Anolis sagrei: one gene and its partners. The protein of the gene in region 1 purifies or fractionates together with the protein of each later gene. This does not show direct contact. Links are inferred from orthologs where the notes say so. Each region holds a gene or a part of one and is shown in the gene's direction. Other genes may lie near its edges.

The links.
Region 2: the proteins of YWHAE (region 1) and KIF1B purify together in Homo sapiens (affinity purification with mass spectrometry; 3 studies listed by BioGRID and IntAct, with this or other methods). This does not show direct contact. The link is inferred for Anolis sagrei from reciprocal best matches to the Homo sapiens genes YWHAE and KIF1B.
Region 3: the proteins of YWHAE (region 1) and LMO7 purify together in Homo sapiens (affinity purification with mass spectrometry; 3 studies listed by BioGRID and IntAct, with this or other methods). This does not show direct contact. The link is inferred for Anolis sagrei from reciprocal best matches to the Homo sapiens genes YWHAE and LMO7.
Region 4: the proteins of YWHAE (region 1) and FRMD6 purify together in Homo sapiens (co-immunoprecipitation; 3 studies listed by BioGRID and IntAct, with this or other methods). This does not show direct contact. The link is inferred for Anolis sagrei from reciprocal best matches to the Homo sapiens genes YWHAE and FRMD6.

The regions. Positions count from the first base shown.
Region 1 is NC_090031.1:27,489,967-27,498,069, forward strand, and holds the start of YWHAE (14-3-3 protein epsilon), read left to right. Parts: upstream 1-4,777; 5' UTR 4,778-4,929; coding exon 4,930-4,993; intron 4,994-8,103. UniProt on the Homo sapiens protein: Adapter protein implicated in the regulation of a large spectrum of both general and specialized signaling pathways. Binds to a large number of partners, usually by recognition of a phosphoserine or phosphothreonine motif.
Region 2 is NC_090033.1:6,018,674-6,026,317, forward strand, and holds the start of KIF1B (kinesin-like protein KIF1B), read left to right. Parts: upstream 1-4,166; 5' UTR 4,167-4,340; intron 4,341-7,644. UniProt on the Homo sapiens protein: Has a plus-end-directed microtubule motor activity and functions as a motor for transport of vesicles and organelles along microtubules.
Region 3 is NC_090023.1:128,539,389-128,547,482, reverse strand, and holds the start of LMO7 (LIM domain only protein 7), read left to right. Parts: upstream 1-4,641; 5' UTR 4,642-4,724; intron 4,725-4,759; exon of another isoform or gene 4,760-4,825; intron 4,826-5,028; 5' UTR 5,029-5,063; coding exon 5,064-5,138; intron 5,139-8,094.
Region 4 is NC_090021.1:338,286,139-338,293,947, forward strand, and holds the start of FRMD6 (FERM domain-containing protein 6), read left to right. Parts: upstream 1-4,387; 5' UTR 4,388-4,472; intron 4,473-7,809.

The DNA.
Region 1 (8,103 bases):
TTCAGGGCCAGAATCACTGGGCTGTTGAGAGTTTTCCAGGCTGTTTGCCCATGTTCCAGAAGCATTCTCTCCTGACGTTTCGCCTACATCTATGGTAGGCAATCCAACAGACTTCACAACCTCTGAGGATGCTTGCCATAGATGCAGACAAAAAATCAGGAGAGAATGCTTCTGGAACATGGCCAGACAGCCCAGAAAACACACAACAACCCAAAATCAATACAACTTAAAATAGAATTAAATTCATCCCCAGTTCCCTCCTTCCCTTCCTGGAATGGCAAAGAATGGGTTTGAGCACCACAAGGGGATGTTTTGTTAGGGAAGCTAAGGAATTGAAACTATTATAATAATTTATTTCAACCCTGGTTTTTCCCCATAGGGACTCAAGAAGGCTTACAATAAAATTATTAGCATTATTATAATTAATGACAATAATAATCATAATTTTATTTCCACACCACTTTTTTCCCCATAGGGACTTGAGAAGGCTCTTTTCTCAGGCCTTCTTTCACCATCCTATCCTTCCTTCCTTTCTTCCTTCCTTCCTTTCTTCCTTCCTTCTCTCTTTCCTTCCTCCTTCCCTCCCTTCAACCCTTTCATCCTTCCTTCCCTTTCCTCCCTCCTTCCCTCTCTCTCTCTCTTCCTCCCTTCTCTTTTGTCTTTCCTTTCTTTTTCCTCCCTCCTCCCTCCATTCCCTTCCACACTTCTTTCTTTCCATCCTTCTCTTCCTCCCCTTTTGTCTTTCCTTCCTTCTTCCTTCCTGCCCTCTTTCTCCCTCCTTTCCTCCCATTCTTTCATCCTTCCTTCCCTCGTTCCTTCCTCCCTTCTCTTTTGTCTTTCCTTTCTTCTTTCTTTCCTCCATTTCCTTACATACTTCTTTCTTTCCCTCCTTCTCTCCCCCTCCCTTTCTTCCTTTTGTCTTTACTTCCTTCTTCCTCCCACGTTCCCATTCTTTCATCCTTCCGTTCTTCGCTCCTTCCTCCCTTCTCTTTCGTCTTTCCTTTCTTCCCTCCCTCCACACTTCCTTCTTTCCATCCTTCTCTTCCTTCCTTTCTCCCCTTGTGTCTTGTCGTCTTTCTCCCTTCCCACCCTTTCTCCCTCCCTCCTTCCCTCCCTTCCTTCTCTTTTCTTTCCTTTCTTTTCTCTCTCCCTCCATTCCCTTCCACCCTTCCATCTTTTCCTTCCTTCCTTCTCTCCTTCCTTCCCTCCCTCTCTTGCTCTCTCCCCTTCCAACCTTTCATCCTTCCCTCTTTCCTTCCTTCTTCCCTCTCTATTTCTCCTTCATTCCTTTTCTTTTGTCTTTCCTTCCTTCTCTCTTTCCTCCTCCCTTCCCTCCCTCCTTCCCTTCCTTCCATCCTTCTCTTCCTTTTTTTCCCTTCCTCCTTTTCTCCTGGGAGATGTTTAGCTGGGAGAAGAGAAGGTAAAGAGAGAACATGAGAGCCATGTTTCAAGATTTCAAAGGTTGTCCCATTGAGGAGGAAGAGGGGGAAAACTGACTTTGTGCTGCTCTAGAGACCAGGGCACAAGGGAGCAATGGGTTCAAATGGCAAATAAAGAGATTCGACTGAAAAGATTCTCTGGAGGCTTTTCCACAGAGGCTATCTATTAGGAGTGCTTTTACTGTGCCTTCTTGCATGGCAGAGGGTTGGACTGGATGGCTCTTGAGGGTCTCTTCCAGCTCTAGGATTATATCTCAGGAGTGGGCAATACGGGTTTCATGGAGATACTTTTTCTCTCCCGTCCACCATCTCATCCTGACCCAAGGCCAACCCTTTTGGAATCCAAATGTTTTCCGTCTTTCCTTACAGTAACATTATTTATTTCCACCCTCCTTTTCTGCCCATAACGACTCAGGGAGACTCATCATTGTCAGCATAACAAGTGTATTTCCACTCTACCTTTATTTACAGTACTTATATAATGCCTTTCTCACCCCGAAGGAGACTCGACAATGGACTCAGTCCATTCAATGCCGATTAGGCAATGACAAGACAGACAACAGATAGGGGTATATATAGGCTTTTTTCTCATCATTCGGTATCTTTGAAGGCTGTGTTCAGTTCTGGCCACAGGGTGGTGCTGTTGCTCTATGTCCTTGCTTTCTTTGTAAATTTTCCTCTGAAACGCCAATGTCAATGTATTTTACATCACCGCTTAATGCAGTTCCAATCCCTCTACTCATGTTTATTTATTTATTTATTTACTATATTTGTATACCGCTCTTCTCAACCCTCAGGGCGACTCAGAGCGGTTAACAAAGCAAATACAATACTTAAACATGATAAAAACAGTTAAAAGAATAACATTATAACAATCAATAACCATCATAACATCTCATCTCATAGTTAAAATCAAGATCCAATCTCATCATCCAAATGTTCCATATTTCTATATTAGTTACACTGCCTATTCAAATGCCTGCTCAAACAACCAGGTCTTCACTTTCCTCCAAAATGTGAACAGGAATCTAATTTCTGTGGGAAGGCTAGGTGGACGGGGAGCTGGGCTGAAGGTCAGGAGCTCACCCTCACCCAGCTTCGAACTGTCAACCTTTTGGTTGGCAAGATTTACTGCAGCTAGTGATTAACCTGTGCTAAAGCCAATCCTTTCTCCCCATAGAGCATCGAGGAGATTTACAATGACGACGACAATGACAAAAATTTTATTTCTACCTTGCGTTTCCTCCCATAGTAACTCAAGGAGGCTTGTAATAACATTATGACTATTAATAATAATAATTGTGTTTCTACCCTGCCTTTCGCTCCATAGGGACTCAAAGAGGTTTACAATTATTATTATTATTATTAATTAATATAATTTTATTTCTACACCACCTTTCTCCTCAAATATATATAATACAATATAATACTAATATATTATTAGGCCAAAATATATAATTATTATATATTATTAATTAATTAATATAATTTTATTTCTACACCACCTTTCTCCCCAAATAAATATAATAAAATATAATATTACTACTAATATAATTATATATTTTGTATTACATGTAATATTACTAATAATATTACAATATAATGGTATAGTAAAATATAGTAATACATAATACTGATATTGTACTATGCTAATAATATAATATATTGTATGTATATATATATCTTGTAAGCCGTTCTGAGTCCCCTTTGGGGTGAGAAGGGCAGCATATAAATGCAGTAAATAAATAATTAATAAATAAAGGGATTCAAAAGAGGGCCACAAGGTCGAAAAGGCCTTTTAGCCCTTTGAGGTTTGGGACTCAATTTCCCAGAAGTCTCAGCCAGCTTATCCAATCACTAGGAATTCTGGGAAATTGAGACCCAAATGCCTGAATGGCCACAAAGTTGAAGAGGCATCCCTTTAGCTGTCTGAGGGTTTAGGATTCAATTTCAAAGCTTCAGCCATCTAGTCCAATGGCGAGGAATTCTGGGAAATGGAGTCCCAAAGCCTAGAGGGCCACAAGAGTAAAGAGGCCTTTTAACCCTTTGGGAGTTTGGGACTCAATTTCCCAGAAGCCTCAGCCAGCTTATCCAATGGCCAGGAATTCTGGGAAGTGGAGTCCCAAAGCCTAGAGAGCCACAAGAGTGACGAGGCCATTTATTTATTTACCTTCCTTATATACCGCTGTTCTCAGCCCGAAGGCGACTCACAGCAGTTCACAACAAATACGAACAGCAAAAATTCAGTGCTACAGTATAAAAACAGTTAACCTAACACATTACACAATTAATAAAGTTACTACAATACCCATTCACTGTCGTCTCATCATCAAAAACATGTTCCAGATTCGTCATCCATTGTTCCATTCCAGTGTTCATTAACCAATCATTGCACTAATTATTCGAACGCCTGCTCAAACAGCCAGGTCTTCACTTTTTTGCGGAATACCATTAGAGATGGTGCTAGTCTAATGTCTGTAGGAAGGGCGTTCCAACGCCGAGGAGCCACCACTGAGAAGGCCCTATCTCTCGCCCCCGCCAGCCGTGCTTGAGAAGCAGGCGGGATCGAGAGCAGGGCCTCCCCGGAAGATCTCAAAGTCCTGGTGGGTTCATAGGCAGAGATGCGGTCGGATAGGTAGCTTGGGCCGGAACCGTTTAGGGCTTTAAAGGCCAACGCCAGCACTTTGAATTGAGCCCGGTAGCAGATCGGTAGCTAGTGGAGTTGGCGCAACAGGGGGGTTGTATGCTCCCTGCGCTCCGCTCCTGTTAAAATCATGGCTGCCGAGCGTTGGACTAGTTGGAGCTTCCGAGCTGTCTTCAAAGGCAACCCCACGTAGAGAGCGTTGCAGTAGTCTAAACGGGATATAACCAGAGCGTGGACTACCGTGGCCAAGTCAGACTTCCCAAGCCCTTTGGGAGTTTGGGACTCAATTTTCCAGAAGCTTTAGCCAGCTTATCCAATAGCCAGGAATTCTGGGAAGTGGAGTCCCAAAGTCTAGAGGGCCACAAGAGAGGAAGAGGCCTTTTAGCCCTCTGGGAGATTGGGACTCAATTTCCCAGAAGCCTCAGCTAGCTTGTGTAATGGCCAGTAATTCTGGGAAACTGAGTCCCAAAGCCTGAAGGGCCACAGGGAGAGCGGACTTGGCTCTCAATGCTTCAAAACTAAACCCAACCCGAATGCAATGTGGTGGGATGTGAGTGCCACTCTCTTCGGGCGGGCCAATGGAGGGGCCAGCAGTTGCCAAGGGAGGGAGCCGCGGTTGCCATGGGGCCTGCCTGGGCGCGGCCTCACTTTGCGCATGCGCGCTCCCCCTCCCGGCTTGTTTGGCGGTGCCCGGATGTGAGCGGGAGGAGGAGGAGGAGGCGCCGCGGCCGCCATCTTTGCCCAGAGCGGAGCAGCGAGCGCGGATCGTGGCTGAGCCCCCGCCGCCGGACCATCGGTCTCCATCCGCCCCCGCGCAGCCCCCGCCGCCCTCCTCGCCCCGCGGACATGGACGACCGGGAGGACCTCGTCTACCAGGCCAAGCTGGCCGAGCAGGCCGAACGTTATGACGGTGAGGACGGGGCCCGGAAGGGCGGGTGGGGGGAGGGAAGAAATTGAGGCAGGCTCAAAATGAGGCCTAGGCCCTGAGGCGAGGTAAAGGTGGAGGTTGAGCGGCGGGAGCGGGAACAGCGCGAAGGAGGAGGGAGACAAAATGGCGGAAGGAAGGAAGGAAAGGAAGGAGGGAGGGAAGCCGAGAGAGGAGAAGGAAGGAAATGAGGAGCCGGGAGGGACAAAATGGCGGACAGTCTAAAGAGAGGGAGAGAGGAAGAGCGCGGAGGGGGGCGCAGTTGGGGGACCAAAGGGAGGAACAGCCAGGGACAAAAGCTCCAAAGGGAGGGAGGGAAGGGTGGGCGTGGCTTAGGGACCACCTCCCTCCCAAGCCACGCCCTTCCCTGGTCTCCCCTCCTTTGTGTTCCCTTTTTTGGGGGGGTCCAAAGCTAAGGAGACAGGGGATCAGATCATATTAGAAACCCCACCCCTCCACCCCCAATATCTCCATCTTGGCCTGCAAGGGAGGGAGGGTCTGCTTTGGCCCCGCCCACCTCTCTTTCCCCCCTCGGCCATTTCCCAAAGGTTTTCCCAAGGTCCTGGCCCCGCCCACAACTCTCCCTCATCACCCCCCCCCCCCCAAATATATCTCATGCAGAAGGGGCCAAAGAGGTGCCATAATTAATAATCATGTAATGCAGGCCTGGGCAAACTTGAGCCCTCCAGGTGTTTTGGACCAACTCCCACAATTCCTAACAGCCTCAGGCCCCTTCCTTTCCCCCCTCGGGAAACACCTGGAGGGCCCAAATGTGCCCATGCCTGATATAATATCTTATTGCCCGCCTTGAGGTGCAGCAAAATAGGTTTCATCATAATAAGAATAGTATTCATTTATTACTCCAGTAGGAGGTAATAATAGATATTAATAATATAGTAATTCTCTCTTCCTTCCTGGCAGAAAGGGGAGTTGGACTGGGTGGCCTGTAGAAGTAGAAGTTCCAACTCTGAGTCTGATGGTGATGATGATGATAGTAATGGTAATAATAATGCCAGAAGAGAGGTTGGACTGGGTGGCCTGTAAAAGTCCCAACTCTTGAGTTTGATGATGATGGTAATAATAACAATGCCAGAAGAGGGGTTGGATTGGGTGGCTTTTAGAAGTCCCTTCCATTTAAATCTGATGATAATAATATGGTGATTCTACCTGCTTGGCAGAAGAGGGGTTGGACCGGTTGGCCTTTAGAAGTCCCTTCCAACTATATGAGTCTGATGATGAAAATAGTAATTCTACCTGTTTGGTAGAAGGGGGTGGAATTGGGTGGCCTTTAGACATCCCAATTTTGAGTCTGATAATAATAACTGCATAATAATAATAATTCAAGCCAGTAAAGCTGGTCCCAGTGGTGATCGGCACACTGGGTGCAGTGCCTAAAGACCTTGGCCTGCACTTAAACACAATCGGTGCTGACAAAATTACCATCTGCCAGCTGCAGAAGGCCACCTTACTGGGATCTGCACGCATTATTCACTGATACATCACACAGTCCTAGACACTTGGGAAGTATCCGACGTGTGATCCAATTCAACAGCCAGCAGAGTGTCTGCTGTGGACTTATCTTGTTGTTTTTCAAATAATAATACTAATAATATAATAGCAAATCTGTCCTTCTGTTTGGCAGAAGAGGGTTGGACTGGGTGGCCTTTAGAAGTCCTAACTCAGAGTCTGCTAATAACAATTGAATAATACAAATAATAATATAGTAATTCTATTTTCCTGTTTGGCAGAAGAGGGGTTGGACTGGGTGGCCTTAAGACTTCAACTCTTGAGTCTGCCTAATAATAATAATAATAATAATAATAATAATAATAATAATAAGGCCTCCTTACTTGGATCTGCATTAATCATTCAATACATCACACAGTCCTAGACACTTGGGAAGTGTTTGACTTCTGATTTTGTGATACGAAATCCAGCATATAGATCTCGTTCGCTGTGAATGCTGTATTTTGGTGTCAGTAAATAATAATAATAATAATAATAATAATAATAATAATAATAATATAGTATTTCTACCTTCCTTCCTAGTAGAAGGAGGGATGGACTGGGTGGCCTTTAGAAATTCAAACTCTGAGTCTGATAGTAATAATTGCATAATAATAATAATAATAATAATAATAATAATATGGTAGTTCTATAGTTCTGTTTGGCAGAAGGGAGTTGAGCTAGGTGGCCTTTAGAAGTCCTAACTGAGTCTGCCTGATGATGATGATGATGATATAGTAATTCTATATTCCTTCCTGGTAGAAGGAGGCTTGGACTGGATGGCCTTTAGAAGTCCCAACTCTGAGTCTGATGATGATGATGATGATAATAATAATAATAATAGAATTATAGAGTGGAAGAGACCCTGTGGGCCATCCAGCCCAACCCTCTGCAAAGAAGCAGGAAAATCGTATTCGGTAATAAAAATACAGGAATTCTACCTGGTTGGCAGAAGGGGGTTGGAGTGGGTGGCCTTTAGAAGTCCCTTCCAACTTGTGATTCTGTCTAATAGTAGTAGTAGTAGTAGTAGTAATACTGATAATAATATATTCCTATTTGGCAGAAAAGTGGTTGGACTGGGTGGCCTTTAAAAGTCCCAACTGAGTCTGAGAATAATAATATAGTAATTCTTCCTGGCAGAAAGGGGTTGGACTGGGTGACCTTTAAGTTCCTTCCAACTGTATGAATCTGATGATGATAATGATGATCGTTAACTGCGTGCCTCTCTTTTAGCTCAAGGCTGAAAAGCATAATAAATTATTACTAATATTATTACTCACCTCGACTTGAGGCAGCAGGGCACAACTCAGTCACACACACCTCTCTATACAATTACCTGTTTAAACATAGTTAAAATGCAACTATCAATGCCTTTGTGATATGACCTGAGGGCTAATCAATAAAATTTACTACAAACGATCAATGCAATAAATACACTTACTAAAATACCCGTGACCTCTATTTATTAGTCACCTCTTCTTTTGGCTTGAGGCAGGGCATATCATGCTTCATAATGATGATGATAATGATGATGACAATAATAATAATAATAATAATAATAATGTCACATAGAATGCAATGAAAAGTCA
Region 2 (7,644 bases), on another chromosome or scaffold:
CTCGGAACATTTTTGCTGCTAAAGCCGTCCCCAGCCCTTTGTTTTCTCCCCCGTTCCCTTTTTGCACCTCCTCTTTTTCTCCCTTGTTCCCCTTTCGTACCGCCTCTTTCCTCCCCCGTTTCCCTTTCATATCACCTCTTTTCTCCCCGTTACTCTTTCGTACCGCCTTTTTTCTCTCCATTCCTCTTCTGCGCCACCTCTTTTCTCCTCCGTTCCCCTTTTGTACCACCTCTTTTCTCCGCTGTTCCCCTTTCATACCGCCTCTTTTCTTCCCGTTACTCTTTCGTACTGCTTCTTTTCTCTCCATTCCTCTTCTGCGCCACCTCTTTTCTCCTCTGTTCCCCTTTCATACCGCCTCTTTTCTCCGCCGTTCCCCTTTCGAACCGCTTCTTTTCTCACCCGTTCCTCTTTCGTACCGCTTCTTTTCTCCCCGTTCCTCTTTCGCACCGCCTCTTTTCTTCCCCGTTTCCCTTTCGTACTGCGTTTCTCCCTGTTCCTTTTTCATACTGCTTCTTTTCTCCATTCCCCTTTTGCACCGCCTCTTTTCTCCCCCGTTCACCTTTCGCACCTCCTCCTTTTCTTTTCCCAATATGAAGAAAACCTTCCCGCGATTACAAAACTACGAGCCCTTCTCTGACCCCAAGAGAACATAATCTTGAACAGATGAGTGTGCCTGCAACAAGGGGGGATTTCGGGGAGGGAGGGAGATATCATATTTTTCTATTAAGCATATTCATTTATTTTTTATTTGGTAGGCCGTACTTGAGAAGAGTGGCTCGCGATAGCAAACGCCTCTCCGTTTTTGTTTTGGGCGGACGGGATTTCGAGTTGTCCCTCTTTTGCCTCTTTCTGAGATTCACATTTTGGGTGGACTTTTCTTTTCTCGTCAAAGCCTTGAAATGTACTCAAAACATCTGCGGAATCCCAGGGCTTCAAAAAGGTATATATATGGAGACAGGGAGCTATACATATATATATATAAATATAAGATCCTCTTAAAGCCAGAGATCCTGATAAGGGTCCAGAGTCATTTTTCTTCTTCTCGGCGCCTACCAATCCAAAAGGGCAGGGGATGCATTTTTACGTTGCGTGTACCACGTTTTGTATCCATGGCTTGGCCTTACCAAAGCAAAAAAAAGGGTGCAGAAAAAAATAAAATAAAAAATAGAATAAAAAAATAATAAATAATAATACGTAGACTTGCTTTTTTTAAAGAAAAATAAATAAATAGAAACTCTATACAAAAAAAAAAAGACGGAAACATTTTTGTATGACCGACTGCCCCCTGCTTTAACGATACTTGAATTTCGTTTTTAAAACAAAGGATTTGAAACCACCGTGTTTTAAAATGATAATAATAATTAAGCCTGAAAAGAAAATCCGTTTTTTTTCCTTTCTTTTCTTTTCTTTTTCCACTGACAGCGTCCTCTGTTCAGTTCCTGATTCTTGAACAATAATAAATGGTGATACGCATTCACAAGACTCTTCCTGCCTGGGTCGTTCTTCATTGTCTTTTATTGGGATGAGAGACTGCTGGGTGACCACTAGTCGAATTGTCCACTTTGAGGTCGTATCAGCTGAAGCTGGGAGTAAACACTCCTGGCCATTGTCGCTTCTACCAGGGCTGACATTGGAGAGAAGAACCAGGAGAATGCCAAGCTGCGAACACACACTTTCAGGGGAGTGTATGTCAGAAATATTAAATATTAACTAGGCATTTTTAATTACAAAAAGCACTGAAAGAGTTAAATGGATGTAATGACTCAGCAGAAGCTGCAGTTTAATATAGGCAGGTGTGCCTGAAGCTTAGTAGCCCTCAGTCTGGGAGAGGTCTCTGTGGGAGAAGGGCCTCAGTGTGCTAGTAGGCCTCTGTATGAGAAGGCCTCAGTGTGAGGTGGACCTCTGTATGAGAAGGCTCCAGTGTTAGTTTGCCTCAGTGGGAGAAAGGCTTCAGTGTGAGGTAGGCCTCAGTATGAGAAGGCTCTAGTGTTAGTTCGCCTCAGTGGGAGAAAGGCCTCAGTGTGAGGTAGGCCTCAGTATGAGAAGGCTCCAGTGTTAGTTTGCTTCACTGGGAGAAAGGCCTCAGTGTGAGGTAGGCCTCAGTATGAGAAGGCTCCAGTGTTAGTTCGCCTCAGTGGGAGAAAGGCCTCAGTGTGAGGTAGGCCTCAGTGTTAGTAGGCCATAGTATGAGAAGGCCTCAGTGGGAGAAAGGCCTCAGTGTGAGGTAGACCTCTGTATGAGAAGGCTCTAGTGTTAGTTTGCCTCAGTGTGAGAAAGGCTTCAGTGTGAGGTAGGCCTCTGTATGAGAAGGCCTCAGTGTTAGTTTGCCTCACTAGGAGAAAGGCCTCAGTGTGAGGTAGGCCTCAGTATGAGAAGGCCTCAGTGTTAGTTCGCCTCAGTGGGAGAAAGGCCTCAGTGTGAGGTAGGCCTCAGTATGAGAAGGCCTCAGTGTTAGTTTGCCTCACTAGGAGAAAGGCCTCAGTATGAGAAGGCCTCAGTGTTAGTTTGCTTCATTGGGAGAAAGGCCTCAGTGTGAGGTAGGCCTCAGTATGAGAAGGCCTCAGTGTTAGTTCGCCTCACTGGGAGAAAGGCCTCAGTGTGAGGTAGGCCTCAGTGTTAGTAGGCCATAGTATGAGAAGGCCTCAGTGTGAGGTAGGCCTCAGTGTTAGTAGGCCATAGTATGAGAAGGCCTCAGTGTGAGGTAGGCCTCAGTATGAGAAGGCTCCAGTGTTAGTTTGCTTCACTGGGAGAAAGGCCTCAGTGTGAGGTAGGCCTCAGTATGAGAAGGCTCCAGTGTTAGTTCGCCTCAGTGGGAGAAAGGCCTCAGTGTGAGGTAGGCCTCAGTGTTAGTAGGCCATAGTATGAGAAGGCCTCAGTCGGAGAAAGGCCTCAGTGTGAGGTAGACCTCTGTATGAGAAGGCTCTAGTGTTAGTTTGCCTCAGTGGGAGAAAGGCTTCAGTGTGAGGTAGGCCTCTGTATGAGAAGGCCTCAGTGTTAGTTTGCCTCACTAGGAGAAAGGCCTCAGTGTGAGGTAGGCCTCAGTATGAGAAGGCCTCAGTGTTAGTTTGCTTCACTGGGAGAAAGGCCTCAGTGTGAGGTAGGCCTCAGTATGAGAAGGCCTCAGTATGAGAAGGCCTCAGTGTTAGTTCGCCTCAGTGGGAGAAAGGCCTCAGTGTGAGGTAGGCCTCAGTATGAGAAGGCCTCAGTGTTAGTTTGCCTCACTAGGAGAAAGGCCTCAGTATGAGAAGGCCTCAGTGTTAGTTTGCTTCACTGGGAGAAAGGCCTCAGTGTGAGGTAGGCCTCAGTATGAGAAGGCCTCAGTGTTAGTTCGCCTCACTGGGAAAAAGGCCTCAGTGTGAGGTAGGCCTCAGTGTTAGTAGGCCATAGTATGAGAAGGCCTCAGTGGGAGAAAGGCCTCAGTGTTAGTAGGCCATAGTATGAGAAGGCCTCAGTGTGAGGTAGGCCTCAGTGTTAGTAGGCCATAGTATGAGAAGGCCTCAGTGGGAGAAAGGCCTCAGTGTTAGTAGGCCTCAGTATGAGAATGCCTCAGTGTCAGCCTGCCATCAACTCCACTGGACTGTCCACGTTGCCTGAATGTCCGATCACAAACACACATATATATATAGATATACACAAATATACTCACACAAAGTGTGAGTAGGCCTCAGTAATAATAATAGGAATTGTGGGAGTTGCAGTCCAAAACAGCTGGAGGGCCCAAACTGGCCCAGTCCTGACTGCGATGCCTCCAAACTCTGTCTCAGGCCCATCTCCGCCTTTTATATCTTCCCTGCGGAAGGTTCTGTCAGGTGTTGTTCGTCCCTCAGGCGTATTTCTGCCTTTCTCCTCATGATACACCACTGAGGTCTCCCTCCGCGCTGCTGGCTGGTTAAAGAGTCCCAGAATAGAACCTTTTGGATGAGAACCCCTTTTTCGAACGCTGATTGGCTGCCTCCCCGGAGTCCGTCCCACCCCCCCGGCGTTTTCCCTTCACTGGATTGGACTAGAGCTGAGCCGTGATTGACAGATGACGTTTCCTCCCCCTTTTTTTTTCGATTGACACTGATTCCTCACCTATGAGATGCCTTGATTGGGAAGCAGCGCGAGGCCTGATTGGGCAGCGGGGCGAAAGGGGCGGGGCTTGTCTGTGGGGACGGGTGCCGACTCCTCTTCTCCTCAGTAGCGCTCCTGTCAGGCGTGAGGGTCGGGGCTCCCGTTCGTCTCGCCTGTGGTAGCCCTTCGCCGGCTCGGGGGGCTCCGTCATGGGCCTCGGCGGCTTTTACCCCGCTTCCCGTTCCCGGAGGAGATGGTGATTTAATCCGGTTTCGAACCGCGCTGAGGTAAAAAGGGGAGCGGGAGAAGGCGGTGGGAGGGGGGGCGCCGTGAGGGGGAGCCGTCACGTGACCCGACTCCCAGCGGGGGCGGGGCCAGGAGCAGTGGGCGGGGCCAGCGCTCAGAGACTCCTCCCCTTTCCCCTCCCTTTGGCTCTTCCATCCTCAATACCCAGAATGGGGGGATATTGGGGATGAGTCCAGGCTAGGAAGGGATACAGAGAAGAAGGCCCAGTCCCTTCCCATTGGCCCATTTGGGAAAACAATAAATAATAAAATAAATAAAAATTTAAAATAATAAAATAAATAAAATTTAAAATAAATAATAAATAAAATAAAAGGAGAAGCCAAAAAGGAAGGCCCAGTTCCTTCCCATTGGCCCATTTGGGAAAACAATAAATAATAAAATAAATAAAAATTTAAAATAATAAAATAAATAAAATTTAAAATAAATAATAAATAAAATAAAAGGAGAAGCCAAAAAGGAAGGCCCAGTTCCTTCCCATTGGCCCATTTGTGAAAACAATAAATAATAAAATAAATAAAATTTAAAATAATAAAATGAATAAAATTTAAAATAAATAATAAATAAAATAAAAGGAGAAGCCAGAAAGGAAGGCCCAGTTCCTTCCCATTGGCCCATTTGGGAAAACAATAAATAATAAAATAAATAAAAATTTAAAATAAATAATAATAAATAAAATTTAAAATAAATAATAAATAAAATAAAAGGAGAAGCCAAAAAGGGGGGGAAATGGTTGTCATTTTTGCAAAACCTAGGCTTACATCCTAATGTATCTGGAGTGTGGATAGTCTTCATGAGGGGAATATGTAGAAAGGATATACAATTTATAAGGAATGGTAATTTTTTTTTGTCAGGTCAGGAGTGACTGCAAGTCACTCCTGGTGTGAGAGAATTGGCCGTCTGCAAGGACGTTGCCCAGGGGACGCCTGGATGATTGATGTTTTTATCATACTTTCGGGAGGCTTCTCTCATGTCCCCGCATGGGGAGCTGGAGCTGATAGAGGGAGCTCATCCGCCTCTCCCCGGATTCGAACCTGCAACCTGTCGGTCTTCAGTCCTGCCAGCACAGGGCTTTAACCCACTGCGCCACCGGTGGTATAGTACAATATAATAATGTATATTATTTATTTATTTATTTATTTATTTTGCTTATATACCGCTGTATCTCAAGCCCGAAGGCGACTCACAGCTGTTCACAAACAGTAAAAACAGTAGAAACAGCAGTGGTTCCATACAACATATAACAATTGACTTAACACATTATCCATAAATTACCAATAAGCAATTACAATGCACAATTATTACAAAAAAACAACCGTACCCAATCTTCTCATCATCCAAGCGTAGTCCAGGTTCGTCGTCCATTGTTCCATTCCTATGTTCCATTACCAGATTGCACTAAATTACTCAAACGCCTGCACAAACATCCAGGTCTTCACCTTTTTGCGGAATACCATTAGAGATGGTGCTAGTCTAATGTCCGTAGGAAGGGCGTTCCACAGCCGAGGAGCCACCACCGAGAAGGCCCTATCTCTCGTCCCCGCCAGCCGAGCTTGAGAAGCAGGCGGGATCGAGAGCAGGGTCTCCCCGGAAGATCTCAAAGTCCTGGTGGGTTCATAGGCAGAGATGCGGTCAGATAGGTAGCTTGGGCCGGAACCGTTTAGGGCTTTAAAGGCCAACGCCAGCACTTTGAATTCAGCCCGGTAGCAGATCGGTAGCCAGTTGGCGCAACAGGGGGGTTGTATGCTCCCTGCGCTCCGCTCCTGTTAAAATCATGGCTGCCGAGCATTGGACTAGTTGGAGCTTCCGAGCTGTCTTCAAAGGCAACCCCACGTAGAGAGCGTTGCAGTAGTCTAAACGGGATGTAACCAGAGCATGGACTACCGTGGCCAAGTCAGACTTCCCAAGGTACGGGCGCAGTATAATGCTTATATTGTTCTATTCTGATACTTTAATATATTATATAATAATATTGATAATATTATAATACAATATAATAGAAATACAATAATATATAATAATATTGTAATGTAGTAATACTAATTTAATTATAATGTGATATATATTTTATATTAAATGTAATATTACTAATAATGTTGCAATATAATTGTATAGTACAATAAAGTGATATATAGCACTGAGATTGGCTGAGATTGGCGGGGACGAGGAGCAGGGCCTTCTCAGTGGTGGCCCCTCACCTATGGAATTCACTCCCCGGGGAAATTAGATCAGCGACATCCCTCCTTTCCTTTAGAAGGAAAGTAAAAACATGGATTTGGGACCAGGCGTTTGGGCAATCTGGCAGATAAAAAAAAGGACTACGACGACAGACAGGAATAGACAATGTAGAATGTAGTATGGACTCTGAGTTGGCAAACGCTGACCATGAGATTGATTTATTGACTGTGATATATATTGATTGTTTTAATTGTTATAACTGTTTAATTGCTGTTTTTATATGTTTATTGTATTATTGTGTAGGCATCAAATTGTGCCTTTTTGTAAGCCGCCTGAGTCCCCCCTCGGGGGTTGAGAAGGGCGGGGTAGAAGTATACGAAATAAATAATAAATAAATTGTACTGTGCTCATGGTATAATGTATTGTGTGTGTGTATGTGTGTGTGTATCTTGAAAGCCACTCTGAGTCCCCTTCGGGGTGTGAAGGGCAGCATATAAATAATGCAAATAAATAAATAATATATTAAATATGATACTACCGATAATCTATATAAATACAAATGTAATGTTCATTTGTGGGATTAACATAACTCATAAACCACTGGATGAATTGACACCAAATTTGAACACAATGCACCCATCAGGCCAGTGAGTGACCATCACTAATAAAAACACTGAAAAACACAGCGGAAGAGAATTTAAAAGCCAAAAAACAAAAATACATTTCAACGCATGCGCAAATATACACACACACAATGCATACACTCACAAAACACATATACACAGACTGGGCCACAGCAACACGTGGCAGGGGACGGCTAATATGTAATAATATATAACAATACGATTATATTATTGTATATTTTATGTTGTCATGTTTTTGATTGTGAGCCACTCCGTATGGAGAGATAAAGCGGGATATAAATAAACAAAATTAAAATATACAAATATACAACAATAAAACTATATTATCATTAATACTTGCTTTTTCTCCCAATTTCCATTTTATTTATTGACTTACTATTATATTTATTTATACCCCGCTTTACGTCCCCCAAAGGGGACTGAAAGCGCTTCACGTAAAAGTTATGTTAATCCCACAAACGAACAT
Region 3 (8,094 bases), on another chromosome or scaffold:
ATGCACATCAGAGGAAAATGCTATAAGGAGATCTAAGGCCCTTTCTACACTGCTATATAAAATTTGGATTATCTGCTTTGAACTGGATTATATGGCAGTGTAGACTCATATGATCCAATTCAAAGCAGGCAATGTGAATTATCTGCTTTGATAATCTGGATTATATGGCAGTGTAGAAGAGGCCTAAATCAAAGTTGTGTGTGGGTGGAGGGTGATGCTCTTTGTACCCTCTTCTGAAATCATATGTGGGCACCATTTACATCTAGATATGAAGTATTTAAATGAAAAAAAAATATCCCTGAGATGTTTCATGGCACCTTGGTTTTGCCTACAGCAGATCTGAATCCTTTAAAACATGCCCAAAATGAATGTATTTCTAGAATACTGTAAATTTCAAACTTGGTTAACATCATTTACATTTCATTTGGTCTTGTATTTTGGCACAAACACACCTTAATCTGGTACCCTTGTTCATTATATATTTTTCAAAAGATTGACTGTCGTATATACACAAAACACAACTGTGCATACCAATATGTAGCACTTCTTTTGTTGTCTCTACTTTGTGGTGGACAACATCTATCCTACTACTATAACATTTCAAGATACAGAGTAATAGATATAATATACATTTATTATATCGATATACAAAGTTTTTGCAGCATGTAGATATCAAGAGATGACATGACTTACTGGAAAACATGACAGCGCTTCGTAAATTTTAAGCAATAGAAAAAGAGAAAGACCATATTCCAGATGGATTGATTTCAATGTAGGAAGTCATAATGAAGACCTGAGTATGGTTGTTGATCACTGGAGTTCTCCACAGAGTTGGTATATGTCAACTCATCTTGATGGTCTCTAGGACAAATAATTCAGAGCTTCTAAGATCTTGCTCACTTTATACTTGAATGTATTATAGTGACCATATTATGTAATACAGTAGAGTCTCGCTTATCTAACATAAATGGGCCGGCAGAACGTTGGATAAGCGAAAATGCTGGATAATAAAGAAGGATTAAGGAAAAGCCTATTAAATGTCAAATTGTGTTATGATTTTACAAATTAAGCACCAAAAAAATCATGTTTTACAACAACTCGACAGAAAAAGTAGTTCAATGCACGGTAACGTTACGTAGTAATTACTGTATATATGAATTTAGCACCAAAACATTGCAATGGATTGAAATAGCTGTGGATCTGGATGGGAGGTCGACTGTGTTGGATAAAACAGAATGTTGGATGAACGAAGGTTGGATAAGCAAGACTACTGTATTCATCTTTAGACTTTATGATAGGACTAAGCAAACACATTAATATATAATATTAGTAGTTTTGTGATCCATATTGAGACCAGTGTGTTTTGTGTGATTTGGTAAATATGTGGCATTGCAAGTTATTATTGTTATGTGGCATCAAGTTGTTTCAGATTTAGGATAGCCCTAATTGTAAAGTTTAGGGCAGGGGCTGGGTAAAGGACCTTGGAGGGCCACATCTGGCCCGCAGGCCTCTGAGTTAAGACAATCCTTGGAGTGCCAGTGATGTTTATTAAAGAGTAAGGGTGGCGAACATCCAGCAGTGGGACCCTAATTTCAAGGTCTTTGAGTTTTTCTCAGACAGCTACTGCCCCTTTCCTCATAATACTACAATTGGATTGTTTCTCCCCGCAAAATGAATGGATCTCACAACCTCTGAGGATGCCTGTCATAGATGTGGATGAAACGTCAGGAGATAATGCTTCTGGAACATAGCCATACAGCCTGGAAAACTCACAGCAACCCATGAATGGTCCCCCATTTCCCCCTCTGCCCCAGTTTCATAGCCTTCACTGCAAGCCAGTCAGTCAGCATTCTGAGCCCTTGGGACCTGTTCAGTCATTATTACCCTTCTGGGGAATCTTCCCTCAAGACCTTTTCCACAAATATGAGTGTTATCCCAAGCATTTGGTACTGGGTGAGCGCATGAGATAACCCGCAGATATATTGAGGTTCCCATGTCGTGGGTGAGGGTGGAACTACTATAGGCTCCCTTGAACCTGACATTGGGATGCAGCCCAACCCTGGAAGGGAGGGCGCCGTTTTGGATACATATAGGATCACCAAGTGACCCACATTATAAAGGATGCCCCTTATTTGATGTCCCACAGAGAACTGGTAGCCGGTCCTTATTATATGCCCCATTTGAGGACTGGAAAGGATGTATAGAGGGAATGATATGCCAAAAATGTGGAGAGAGGTGTAGGCATTTTGAGAGAGAAAAATAAGGAAGTGACTATCTGAAATTCACTGCCGATGCAGATAGTCATAGGATTAAAATAGATTTGAGATGGTTGCCAGATGCCTAGAAAGAAAAATATCAAAGCCTGGTTTTCATAAAGACAGAAAATTGTTTGTCAGCCCCTAGAAGTCATTTACTGATTACAAGGATTTTTTTTTAAAAAAAACCTGTTGACATAATGATGGAGATTTGAGGCCATCTCCAGGTCTTGGAGTTATCCAGCAAACATTTCTCCTTATACAGACAGCCGTCCATATCAGCAGATTCTGTAACAATGGATTCAATCATCCACAGCTTGAATATAGGTTAAAAATCCCCAAAGCAAACCTTTAAACATGGGACAATATTTTACTATGCCATTGTATATACAGGCAGTCCCCAAACTACAAACATCCGACTCAACTTACATAGTGAGGAACAGGAATGAGAAAACAAGAAGTGAGAGAAATCTGTCTCTAGAAAGGGAAAATCACTCCCTTCCTTATGATATCCAAAGTTCTCTCTCCCCCCCCCCCCTCTACACACACACATACACACTTACTTTTAAAAATGTAACTCCAGCCATGTGTGTGGCTGGAGTTACACTTTAAAATATGTGTGTGAGTGTGTGTGTGTGGCTGGCTGGAGTTACACTTAAAAAGTGTGCGCGCGTGTGTATGTGTGTATATAAATATATATATGGCTGGAGCTACATTTAATAATAATAATAAAACTTTATTTATATCCCGCCATATCTCCCTGTGAGGCCTCAGGGCAGTTTCTAAGAAACAAAGACAAACATGCAGTGCTAATATCCAAAGACAATAACCATAAAAATTTCAACAGAAAATCACAAAAATTAAATTACAACATGACAACATGAAAAAGTGTGTGTGCATGTACATATGTATATGTGTGTGTGTATATATACATATACATACATGACTACACTTAAAAAGTGTGTGTGTATATATATATATGGCTAAAAAGTGTGTGTGTGTGTGTATGTGTGTGTGTGTGTGTATATATATATATATATATATATATATGGCTGGAGTTACACTTAAAAAGAGAAAGAGAGAGAGGGTGTGTGTGTGTATACACTTGGCTACACTTAAAAAGTGTGTGTGTGTATGTGCATATATATGGCTGGAGTTACACTTAAAAAGAGAAGAATGTGAGAGAGAGTGTGTATGTATGTGTGTGTGTGTATATATATATATATATATGGCTATACTTAAAAGGTGTGTGTATATATATATATGTGGCTGGAGTTACATTTAAATGTGTGTGCACGTATGTATGTATCTATCTATCTATGTGTATATATATGGCTGCAGTTACATTTAAAAAGAGAGAGTGTATATATATGTGTGTGTGTGTGTGTATGTATGTATGTATGTGTATATATATATTAGGGCTGGGCGGTTTCGTTCGTTAATTTCGTAATTCGTTATTAATTCGTTATTTTTTTTATAACGAAGCGATATTGAACCATTCAGGAGCAACTTAAAATTGAAACGAATTTTTAAAATTTATTTCGTAATTGTTTCGTAATTGTTTTGTTATTATTTCCGTATGTCTGGTGCAAGTTTTATAGTTGTTGTTTGTTTTATCAGTGATAAAAAAATAAATTATCACACCAAGAGTCAACAACAGAGGGAGAGGGAAGCTTCAGAAGTTCCCCCTGTCCCATTTGGAGGGTTTTTTAGTGTATTGCGCAACCGCGTCCGCCATTAACGAATCGATTCGTTATTGTTTCAAAATTGTTTCGTAATTTCCGAAATTTCGTAAATATCGAACTTTTTTAAAGAAAAATTTCGGAATTCTTTTAAATAACGAAACGCAAAAACCGCCTAAAAACGAATCGAGTTTAGAAACAAATTTTTCTGTGGTTGGACAGCCCTAATTATATATATATATATATATATATATATATATATAGCACACACACACACATTTCAGAACAGGTACTTTTTAAATGTAACTCCAGCCATATCTATCTATCTACCCATGCACACACACATACACTTTTTCCTCAACTTGTGCACGTGCGTGTGTATGGCTGGAGTTACATTTAAAAAGTACCTGTTCCGACTTACATACAAATGCAATTGAAGAACCCACCTTGTTCGTAACTTGGGGACTGCCAGGAATGAACTTGAAAGGGTTTGTTTCCAGGCCTTTTGTGGATATCAACATCTATGGGATTGGGGTTTCCATGATATACAGTGGGGTAGTAAAACGTCATGCCTTATACAACATGGCAAAAAGGAAGGCTTGCCTTTTTGCCATATTTAGGGGGAAGACACGAAGGGCTCCCTTTCCTAACCTGCGCGGCAATTCCCCTTCGTGCCGCCAGGTGGTGGCGGCGAGCCGGCCTCCCGGGAAAGTTTAAGAAAGTTTGCAAGAGGCAGCGCCGGGGCTTTGGACCGGGAGCCAGTCGGAGGTAGGAGCGGTGGCGGAAGGTAGGCGTTTGTAGCGGGAAGGGAAGGGTAGGGTAGGGTAGGGTGCGGACGGCGGCCAGGGAAGCAGGGTCAAGTTTGGAGCGCCTCAAAGGGAGGAAGAGGTGCAGTTGGGACAGTCGGGTGGGCGCTCCTTGCAGAGAAAGCCTTGGCTTGGCTTGGCTTGGCTTGAGTGCCGCTTCCCTTCAGACTAACGGGAAAGGCACACACCTCTTTCCCTCCTTTCCAAAGGCTCCTTGAAGCCGGAGGGTGCCTGCCTCTCTCTCTCTCAGCCAAGGTTTTCCCGTCGCCTTTTCTGTCTCCCCAGCTTTCTGTCCTTGCCTTGCTCTTCTCCTGCCAGCCATGGAGGCCAGAGAGGACCCCGAAGGTGCCGGCTCCTGTGAGGGGGCCTTTGCTGAAGCCAGGCGGTGGGTCGAGGTAAGAGAGGAGGACGAGGAGGAGGAGACGCCACAACTCCCTGGCCTGCAAGATTGAGGGCTAGACTACAATCTGGGATTTGTCTTACTCAGGGTTGCCCCACTGCATCCTGTTCTCTCTCCACAGCTTGTATTGTGTTGCTGTCTCTTTTTAGGGATACAGTTTGGCCCCTCTCAAAGTGCCATGGCTCTAGGCTGGAGCATTTGGGAATTTGGAATGCAGCCCTCTTTGGCAGAGAAGGCTCCAGACCTTGCAGAACTGCAACTCCCTCCATAGTATTGAGAGAATGGTACCCAAAGTAGGGCCACACTGCAGCCATCCCTTAGTTGCAGATGCACCCTCAGAGTAAACAGTAAGGAAGGATGGGTTGTTGTAGGTTTTTCAGGCTGTATTGCCATGTTCCAGAAGCATTCTCTCCTGATGTTTCACCTGCATCTATGGCAGGCATCCTCAGAGGTTGTGATCTGTTGGAAACTAGGAGAATTGGGTTTATATATCTGTGAAAAGTCCAGGGTGGGAGAAAGAACTCTTGCCTGATGGAGGTAGATGTGACTGTTTCGATTGATAAGCATTTAATGGCCTGGGAGTTTTTGTGTGTGTGTGGCTTGTTCTTGCATGAGGGAATCCTTTGTTGAGAGGTGATTAGTTGTTCCTAACTGTTTTTTGTCTGGAGTTCCCCCATGTTTGAGTTTTGTTTTTTATTTACTGTTACAATTTTAAGAGTTTTTAGAGTAAGGAAGGAATTACACTATATAACACAATTGTTGTTCCTGGGTTATAAATGTCATTTCCTAATTGGTTCTACCATAGAATCATAGAATCCTAGAGTTGGAAGAGACCTCATGGGCCTTCCAGGCCAACCCCCTGCTGAGAAGCAGGAAAATCAAATTCAAAGCACCCCCGACAGATGGCCATCCATCCTCTGTTTAAAAGCTTCCAAAGAAGGAGCCTCCACCACACTCCGGGGCAGAGAGTTCCACTGCTGAACGGCTCTCACAGTCAGGAAGTTCTTCCAAATGTTAAGATGGAATCTCCTTTCCTGTAGTTTCAAGCCATTGTTCTGTGTCCTAGTCTCCAGGGCAGCAGAAAACAAACTTGCTCCCTCCTCCCTATGACTTCCTCTCACATATTTATACATGGCTATCATGTCTCCAAACACATGGGGAAAACACTCAGAAACAGAGGAATTCCAGACAAGAAACAATCAGGGCCAGCTAATCACCTCCCAACAAAGGATTCCCTCAGGCAGTAAGAAGCCAGGCCTTGAAACTGCTAGGCCATTAAATGCTAATCAAGGTGGCCAATTGAAACATTCACAAATACCTCAAACAGAAAAGAGTTCTTTCTCCTACCCTGGACATTCCACAGATATATATATAGATATAAACCCAATTTTCCTACAAACCTCACAACCTCTGAGGATGCCTGCCAAAAATGCAGGTGAAATGTCAGGAGAGAATGCTTCTGAAACATGGCCATACAGCCCAGAATACTCATAACAAACCAGTGATTCCGGCCATGAAAGCCTTCGACAATACATGGGGAAACAGTTTATTAAATTGCAAAAACTCTTTTTGCGGGACATCTTACAGCACATTTTGCTATTGTTTTTTCAATTAATATCTCATACTGTCTCAATCAATTCGACATAGTTTGTGGCATCCACAAAACAAAGTTTCTGGATTATAACAACTACTTTCAAACTAAGCGCAACACGATTAAACAGGAAACAGCACTTTCAAACCAGGAACAGATTTTTTTCTGCTGGTATGAAACTGAGAGAATAGCCATATCCTAACAGCAGAACTGTGTGTAGTAAGATATTTTCATTGCATTTTTCCAATTCAGAATCCAAACATATATTAAGACCAGCAATACTGTAAGAGGTTTTTTTTTTCTCTCCATTGCAAGCCTGTGGTATTTTCTGTAACTGGTAATTATTACTATTATTATTTTTGAAGGGAGTGGCTGGCCTCAGGCTCACACTTACTTGGAAGCCCACAGCAGCTCATACAAAAGGATGGAAGAGTGACTTGGCGAGGAATAACATCTCTGTGTATGTGCGAAGGCACGTTCTCATAATTTTATTCCAGGGATATGGAGGGGCAACTGGATCTCTCTTCCTCCTTTGTGGTGGTCACCTTTTTAAAAGGCTACACAGGAACTGTTGTGAGGCTTTAGTCAAACAAAAAGGAGTTGGACCTGTGTTAAAAGTTTCCCTACTTCTTTTCTTGTAACCGGAGTATCAGGTTTTGTGGCTGAGGAATATTTAGCAGAGGCCCTTCAGCTGAGTCCTTGCTCACACTAAACCCAGACTTAAGGATTAGTCTTAATCCTGAACATCATCTTGATGGAGTTAGGTCCCTTTCGGTAGAGTAGCACCAACTTCATGTGTGTAGGATTGAGTTGTTAATATTCTGTTGTGGTTGCTTCGATGCCCTGTTACATAGTGCAGTGGTTCTCAACTTGTGGGTCCCCAGGTGTTCGGCCTACAACTCCCAGAAATCCCAGCCAGTTTACCAGCTGTTGTGATTTCTGGGAATTGAAGGCCCACATCTGGGGACCCACAGGTTGAGAACCATTGGCTTAGTGGGATGTTTTAATGCAGTGTTAAGAAATGTGGGGTCCTCTGGTCTTTTCTAGCTTGCATCTTCCCTCCTCGCTAGTTATGCACCGAGCACCGAGGAGCATTCACACTCTCAAAAATAATATCAAACAGCCTTACTTTAATGTGTGGGAATGACTTTTGTGAAAGAAGATCCAGAACACTGGTTTTTAAAATGTGGGTTTGACCCTAAATGGGGTCCCCTTAACTCAGTGTTGGGGTCATAAAAATTGGCAACTGTAAAGGGTTTCTGAATCCCACCTAGAAATTTGCACACAGTGAACTCTGTTTAACAAGTCTTTGAAATGCTGATTTATTATCAGTAAATGTTTGATTTTATGGCTATTTTAT
Region 4 (7,809 bases), on another chromosome or scaffold:
CATAAGTACTGATAGGTGGCAGTTATTATGGGTCAAACTGCATTACTTCTATAATGTAGATCAGGCCTAGGCAAACTTTGGCCCTCCTGGTGTTTTGGACTTCAGCTCCCACAATTCCTAACAGTCGGTGGGAGTTGGAGTCCAAAACACCTGGAGATGCACCCAAGGGCCAAAGCTTGCTGTTGCCTTATCAACATATAAAATCATAGAGTCCTAGAGTTGGAAGAGACCTCCTGGGCCATCCAGTCCAACCCCATTCTGCCAAGAAGCAGGAATATTGCATTCAAAGGACCCTCGATGGATGGCCAGCCAACCTCTGTTTAAAAGCTTCCACCACACTTCAAGGCAGAGAGTTCCACTGCTGAACAGCTCTCACAGTCAGGAAGTTCTTCCTCATGTTCAGATGGAATCTCCTTTCTTGTAGTTTGAAGCCATTGTTCCATTGCGTCCTAGTCTCCAGGACAGCAAAAAACAAGCTTTCTCCCTCCTCCCTATGACTTCCTCTCACATACTTATACATGGCTATCATGTCTCAGCCTTCTCTTCTTCAGGCTAAACATGCCCAGCTCCTTAAGCCGCTCCTCATAGGGCTTGTTCTCCAGACTCTTGATCATTTGAGTCACCCTCCTCTGGTCACATTCCAGCTTGTCAATATGTCTCTTGAATTGTGGTGCCCAGAATTGGACACAATATTCCAGGTGTGGTCTAACCAAGGCAGAATAGAGCATGGGGAGCATGACTTTCCTGGATCTAGACACTATGCTCCTATTGATGCAGGCCAAAATCCCATTGGCTTCTTTTGCCACCACATCACATTGCTGGCTCATGTCTAACTTGTTGTCCACGAGGACGCCAAGATCTTTTCCACACGTACTGCTCTCGAGCCAGGCATCGTCCCCCATTCTGTGTCTTTGCATTTCATTTTTCCTGCCAAAGTGGAGTATCTTGCATTTGTCCCCATTGAACTTCATTTTGTTAGCTTTGGCCCATCATCTCTCTAATCTGTCAAGATCATTTTGAATCCTGCTCCTGTCCTCTGGAATATTGGCTCTCCCTCCCAATTTGCTGTCATCTGCAAACTTGATGATCCTGCCTTCTAACCCTTCATCGAAGTCATTAATAAAGATGTTGAACAGGACCGGGCACTCCACTTGTCACTTCTTTCCAAGATGAAGAGTAAGCATTGGTGAGCAGTCTCTGGGTTCGTTCATTTAACCAGTTATAGATCCACCTCACCGTAGTTTTGCCTAGCCCTGTGATTCTACGCATGATTCTCGGACACAATGGAATAATAGAGTCAAAGTACTAGAAAAGAGCTTCCACCTAAACATTAGGAAGAACTTCGTGATGTTAAAGGCTGGTCGCTTGTTGAATTCACTCCTGCAGTGGAGTCTCCTTCTATGGAGATTTTGGAAATGATGTTGCAGAGGCATCTGTTGGGTTGTGTAAAGGAGGTTGGACTGGATGGCCCTTGGGGACCCTTCCAACCCTCCCAGTCCAAGTATAAGTATCAACACAACATAGATTTGCAATCTTCCATTTTGTTTTCTAATGGCCAACATGGGTCACTTGCCCTGTTGGGAAACGCAGTTTTGCAAGTTGTGGAACTCGCTCACTCTGTGGCACCATTTCCGACTCTGCTTCACGCAGGGACTCTGTTCTTTTCTAAAGGAAGGAAATGTTGTTACAGCTCTCCTGCGAGCCAGTGGCCTCTTTTCTGTAATTCATTGTATAGCGAGATCTAAATATACTTCTGGAATCAGCAGTGTTAACCACAGCGTGCTTTGCCAAAACACATTTGGATGGCTTTTAATGTCCAGGGAAGAGTTACCTGGAATTGGCAGGGTTATATAAACATGTAGACCTAAATCCCAATGATACACTATACCTAAACTATGTGTTGACTCACTATTTGATATTGGATTTAATGGGTTTAACTCTTGTTAGGAGTAACCAAAGGGATTCTAGTTCTAGGGTGCATTTACGCTTTAGAATTAACGCAGTTTGATTTTAAGTGTCATGGTTCAATGCTATGAAATCCCAGGATTTGTAGTTTGCTAAGGTACCAGGACTTTTGGTCAGAAAAGACTTGTAAAACTTCAACTCCCATGACACTGAGTTGTTTCCAATCCATGATGACCCTATCAGGGGGTTTCCTGGCAGGATTTGTTCAGAGATAGTATTCCTTTGCTTCATTTGAGGCTGAGAGAATGTGACTTTCCCATGGTCACTTAGTAGGTGTCATGGCGGAGTGGAGATTGGAACTACAGTCTCCATAGTCATCATCCAACACTCATAGCACTGCACTAGAAACAATATCATACGAAAGCTGACTGGCACAACCTGGGGATCACAACCAGACACAGTGAAGACATCTGTCCTTGTGCTATGCTACTCTGCTGCTGAGTATGCATGCCCAGTGTGGAACACATCTCACCACGCTAAAACAGTGGATGTGGCTCTTAATGAGACATGCCGCATTATTACGGGGTGTCTGCGCCCCACACCACTGGAGAAATTACACTGTCTAGCCAGTATTGCACCACCTGACATCCGCCGGGAAGTAGCAGCCAATAGTGAATGGGCCAAGGCAGAGACATCTCCAGCCCATCCCTTGTTTGAGTATCAGCCAGCACGCCAACGACTTAAATCAAGAAATAGTTTTCTAAGATCTACAGAGACACTCACTAGAACACCCCAGTAAGCGAGAGTCCAAAAGTGGCAGGCTCAAACCCAGAACCTCAATCAATGGCTGATACCAAATGATAGACTTCCCCCTGGGCACACAGAAGACTGGGCGACTTGGAAGGCGCTGAACAGACTGCTCTCTGGCACCATGAGATGCAGAGCCAGTCTTAAGAAATGGGGCTACAAAGTTGAATCCTCGGCATGCGAGTGTGGAGAAGAGCAAACCACTGACCACCTGCTGCAATGCAACCTGAGCCCTGCCACATGCACAAGGGAGGACCTTCTTGCGGCAACACCAGAGGCACTCCAAGTGACCAGATACTGGTCAAAGGACATTTACTCAACTACCAAGTTTGCAAACTTTGTGGTTTTTTTTTAACCTGTTTGTTTTGTTCTGTTCGAAATGTAATACAATGGTCTGGTTGCCCCTGACACCATAAATAAATAGCGATGTTGAATCCATAATAAGTTTCTGTTATACCTAAATACCAAGATAATAAGTAATGATTTTTGTTAGTTTCGGTACATGTTTCTCTACAACAGTGTTTCTCAACCTGGGGTTCGGGACCCCTGGGGAGGTCATGAGGGGGTGTTAGAGGGGTCACCAAAGACCATCAGAAAACACAATACTTTCCGTTGGTCATGGGGATTCTGTGTGGGAAATTTGGCACAATTCTATCATTGGTGTGGTTCAGAATGCTCTTTGATTGTAGGTAAACTATTAATCCCAGCAACTACAACTACCAAATATCAAGGTCTATTTTCCTTAAACTCCAGCAGTATTCACATTTGGGTATATTGAGTATTCATGCCAAGTTTGGTGCAGTTCCATCATTGTTTGAGTTCTCCCTGGATGTAGGTTTACATAAAACTTATACACTACAACTCCCAAACTCAAAGTCAATGCCCACCAAATCCTTCCAGTATTTTCTATTGGTCATGGGAGTTCTATGTGCCAAGTTTGGTTCAATTCCGTCATTGGTGGAGTTCAATTCCATCGTTGTAGGTGAACTATCAATCCCAGCAACTACAACTCCCAAATATCAAGGTCTATTTTCCCCCAACTCTGGCAATATTCACATTTGGGTATATTAAGTATTCGTGCCAAGTTTGGTCCAGTCCCATCATTGTTCTCCCTGGATGTAGGTTTACAGAAAACTTACACACTACAACTCCCAAACTCAAGGTCAATGCCCACCAAACCCTTCCAGTATTTTCTATTGGTCATGGGAGTTCTGTGTGCCAAGTTTGGTTCAATTCCATCATTGGTGGAGTTCAATTCCATTGTTGTAGGTCAACTATAAATCCCAGCAACTACAACTCCCAAATGACAAAATCAATCCTCCCCCAACCCCACCAGTGTTGAAATTTGGGCATATCGGGTATTTGTGCCAAGTTTGGTCCAGTGAATGAAAATACATCCTGTACATCAGATGTGTACATTACGATTCATAACCGGAGCAAAATTATGACGTAGCAATGAAAATCATTTTCTGGTCAGGGGTCAGCACAACATAAGGAATGGAATTCAGGGGTTGTGGCATTAGGAAGGCTGAGAACCACTGCCATAGCAGATCCAGTGTTGCAATGATATGGGACCCGCCAGATACCTGGACTGGGTGGGGAATTGGAAATGGTGACTCAACAGGAGTCCAAATGTCTAAAATATACAATTTTTTCCTTTTTGTCCCAACAGTTCTTTGGTGACGTCTAAGGGAGGGGAGAAGAACGGAAAATTCTTTCCAGACGCTTTGCATGGACCAGTCAGACGCCTGCATATATAGGTAATGCATTTCGTTTTGGCCAAAATGTGATCTCCTTTCTACTTTAGGTTGTTCCAAAAGGCAATGCTATGGTTTCCTGGGAGTTGCAGTTTTGGTGAAGCACCAGCACTGTTTGACAGAGAAGGTTAAAGACCTTCCAAAACTATAATGATTACACTTTAACAGGCATGGCTCCATGCTATGGAAACTTGGGAGTTGCAGTTTGCTGGGGCACCAGCACTCTTTGGCAGAAAAGACCTTGTCGAACCACAACTCTCATGATTCCATAGCATTCATAGAATCATAGAATCAAAGAGTTGGAAGAGACCTCATGGGCCATCCAGTCCAACCCCATTCTGCCAAGAAGCAGGAATATTGCATCCAAATCACCCCTGACAGATGGCCATCCAGCCTCTGTTTAAAAGCTTCCAAAGAAGGAGCCTGCACCACACTCCAGGGCAGTGAGTTCCACTGCTGAACGGCTCTCACAGTCAGGAAGTTCTTCCTCATGTTCAGATGGAATCTCCTTTCTTGTAGTTTGAAGCCATTGTCCCATTGCGTCCTAGTCTCCAGGGAAGCAGAAATGAAGCTTGCTCCCTCCTCCTCCCTGTGGCTTCCTCTCACATATTTATACATGGCTATCATACCTCATCTCAGCCTTCTCTTCTTCAGGCTAAACATGCCCAGCTCCTTAAGCCGCTCCTCATTCCAAGGTGACTAAAGTGGCATAGATTCCAAAAACAATGGATGGGCAGTACCATTATATACATTGGCATAGCAAAGTGGCCACTCTTATATAAAACTAGCTGTCCCCTGCCAGGCATTGCTGTGGCCCAGTCTGCTGATCTGGAAAATAAAGTAATGAGAAAGTGTTGGTTTCTAATATATGTAATTTCTTTATGCTTGTGGGTAAACAGTATTACTTGCTGTTTGTCTGGTTTGTCTACCTAGGAACATGCAACATATAATTGTCCTTCTTTAGGGGTCTCTTTCAAATCCATGATATGATATCTGTGTGTGTCTGAATCCTACCTATCTATCTATCTATCTATCTATCTATCTATCTCTATGGCTGTTTGTCAGGAAGGCTTCAATTATGTTTTCTTGTTCTGGTGAAGGGGGTTGGATTGGATGGCCTTAAGGCAGCATTTCTCAGCCTGGGGGTCAGGACCCCTGCAGAGGTCATAAAGGGGTGTCAGAGGGGTCACCAAAACCATCAGAAAACTCAGTATTTTCTGTTGGACATGGGGATTCTGTGTGGGAAGTTTGCCCCAATTCTACCATTAGTGGGGTTCAGAATGCTCTTTGATTGTAGTTGAACTATAAATCTCTGTAACGACAATGCCCAAATGTCAAGGTCTATTTCCCCCAAACTCCATCTATGTTCACATTTGGGCATATAGAATATTCATGCCAAGTTTGGTCCAGATCATTGTTTGAGTCCACAGTGCTCTCTGGATGTTGGTGAACTACAATTCCAAACTCAAGGTCAATTCCCACCAAACCCTTCTAGTGTTTTCTGTCGGTCATGGGAGTCCTGCGTGCCACGTTTGGTTCAATTCCATCCTTGGTGGAGTTCAGAATGCTCTTTGATTGTAGGTTAACTATAAATCCCAGCAACTACTACTGACAAAATTAATTTTTGAGTGATGTTCACTCCTTGGGTTAGTAGGTGTCTTGAGGCCAAATTTGGCAGCAATTTGTCCAATGGTTTTTGAGTTATGTTAATCCCACAAACGAACATTACATTGAATTGTCGAAGGCTTTCATGGCTGGAATTATCGGGTTGTTGTAGGTTTTGCAGGCTGTATGGCCATGTTCTAGAAGCATTCTCTCCTGCATCTATGGCAAGCATCCTCAGACCTCACATTCCAGCTTGTCAACATCTCCCTTCAATTGTGGTGCCCAGAATTGGACACAATATTCCAGGAATGATCTAACCAAGGCAGAATAGAGCATGGGGAGCATGACTTCCCTGGATCTAGACACTAAACTCCTGTTGATGCAGGTCAAAATCCCATTGACTTTTTTTTGATGCCGCATCACATTGTTGGTTCATGTTTAACTTGTCGTCAATGAGGACTCCAAGATCTTTGTCACACATACTGTTCTCGAGCCAGGCATTGTCCCCATTCTGTCTCTTTGCATTTTGTTTCTTCTGCCTAAGTGGAGTATCTTGCATTTCTCACTGTTGAACTTCATTTTGTTAGTTTTGGCCAATCATCTCTCTAATCTGTGAAGATCGTTTTGAATCCTGCTCCTATCCTCTGGAGTATTGGCTCTCCCTCCCAATTTGGTCCTGTCTGCAAACTTGATGATCGTGCCTTCTAATCCATCATCATTAATAAAGATGTTGAACAGGACCGGGCCCAGGACGGAACCCTGCGGCACTCCTACAGGATCAACCAAGAATGCCTTTATAGCAAACCATGAAGGACACATAACCTGATTCTAGGCAATAGGGTACTTACTTACTTACTTAGGTGATCCCTCGTTGTCTGAGGATGATGGTCCTCCAAGGTGACTCCATAGGTGACTGTGGAACCCTATTCTTGATCTACATCTTCTCCTACAGTGAAGGCATTGGTTTCCAGGTGGAAGGTGGTCCTGGTAGGGGTTGGCTTGATGCACCTTCCTCTTGGCACATTTCTCTCTTTCGCCCTCCATTCGTGCCTCTTCAAATTCTATAGCACTGCTGGTCACAGCTGACCTCCAGCTGGAGCGCTCAAGGGACAGGGCTTCCTAGTTCTCAGTGTCTATGCCAGAGTTTTTGAGGTTGGCTTTGAGCCCATCTTTCAATCTCTTTTCCTGCCCTCCAACATTCCATTTTCCATTCTTGAGTTCGGAGTAGAGCAATTGCTTTGGGAGACGGTGGTCGGGCATCCAGACAACGTGGTCGGTCCAGCGGAGTTGATGGTGGAGGACCATCGCTTCAATGCTGGTGGTCTTTGCTTCTTCCAGCACGCTGACATTTGTCTGCCTGTCTTCCCAAGATTTGCAGGATTTTCTGGAGGCAGCGCTGATGGAATCGTTCCAGGAGTTGCATGTGACACCTGTAGACAGTCCACGTTTCACAGGCGTATAGCAGGGTTGGGAGGACAATGGCTTTATAAACAAGCACCTACGGATGTCCCGGTCCTCAAACACTCTCTGCTTCATTAGGAAAAATGCTCCACTCACAGAGCTCAGGCAGTGTTGTATTTCGGTGTCGATGTTGACTTTGGTGGAGAGATGGTAATATACTCATAATTCTTAAAAGCTTGAGATAGAAAGGATCCAAAAACATTATAGAACAATATTATATAATGACTATATTGGATGTATTTCTAGCAAAGGGATCAAAAAGTATTACAAACTT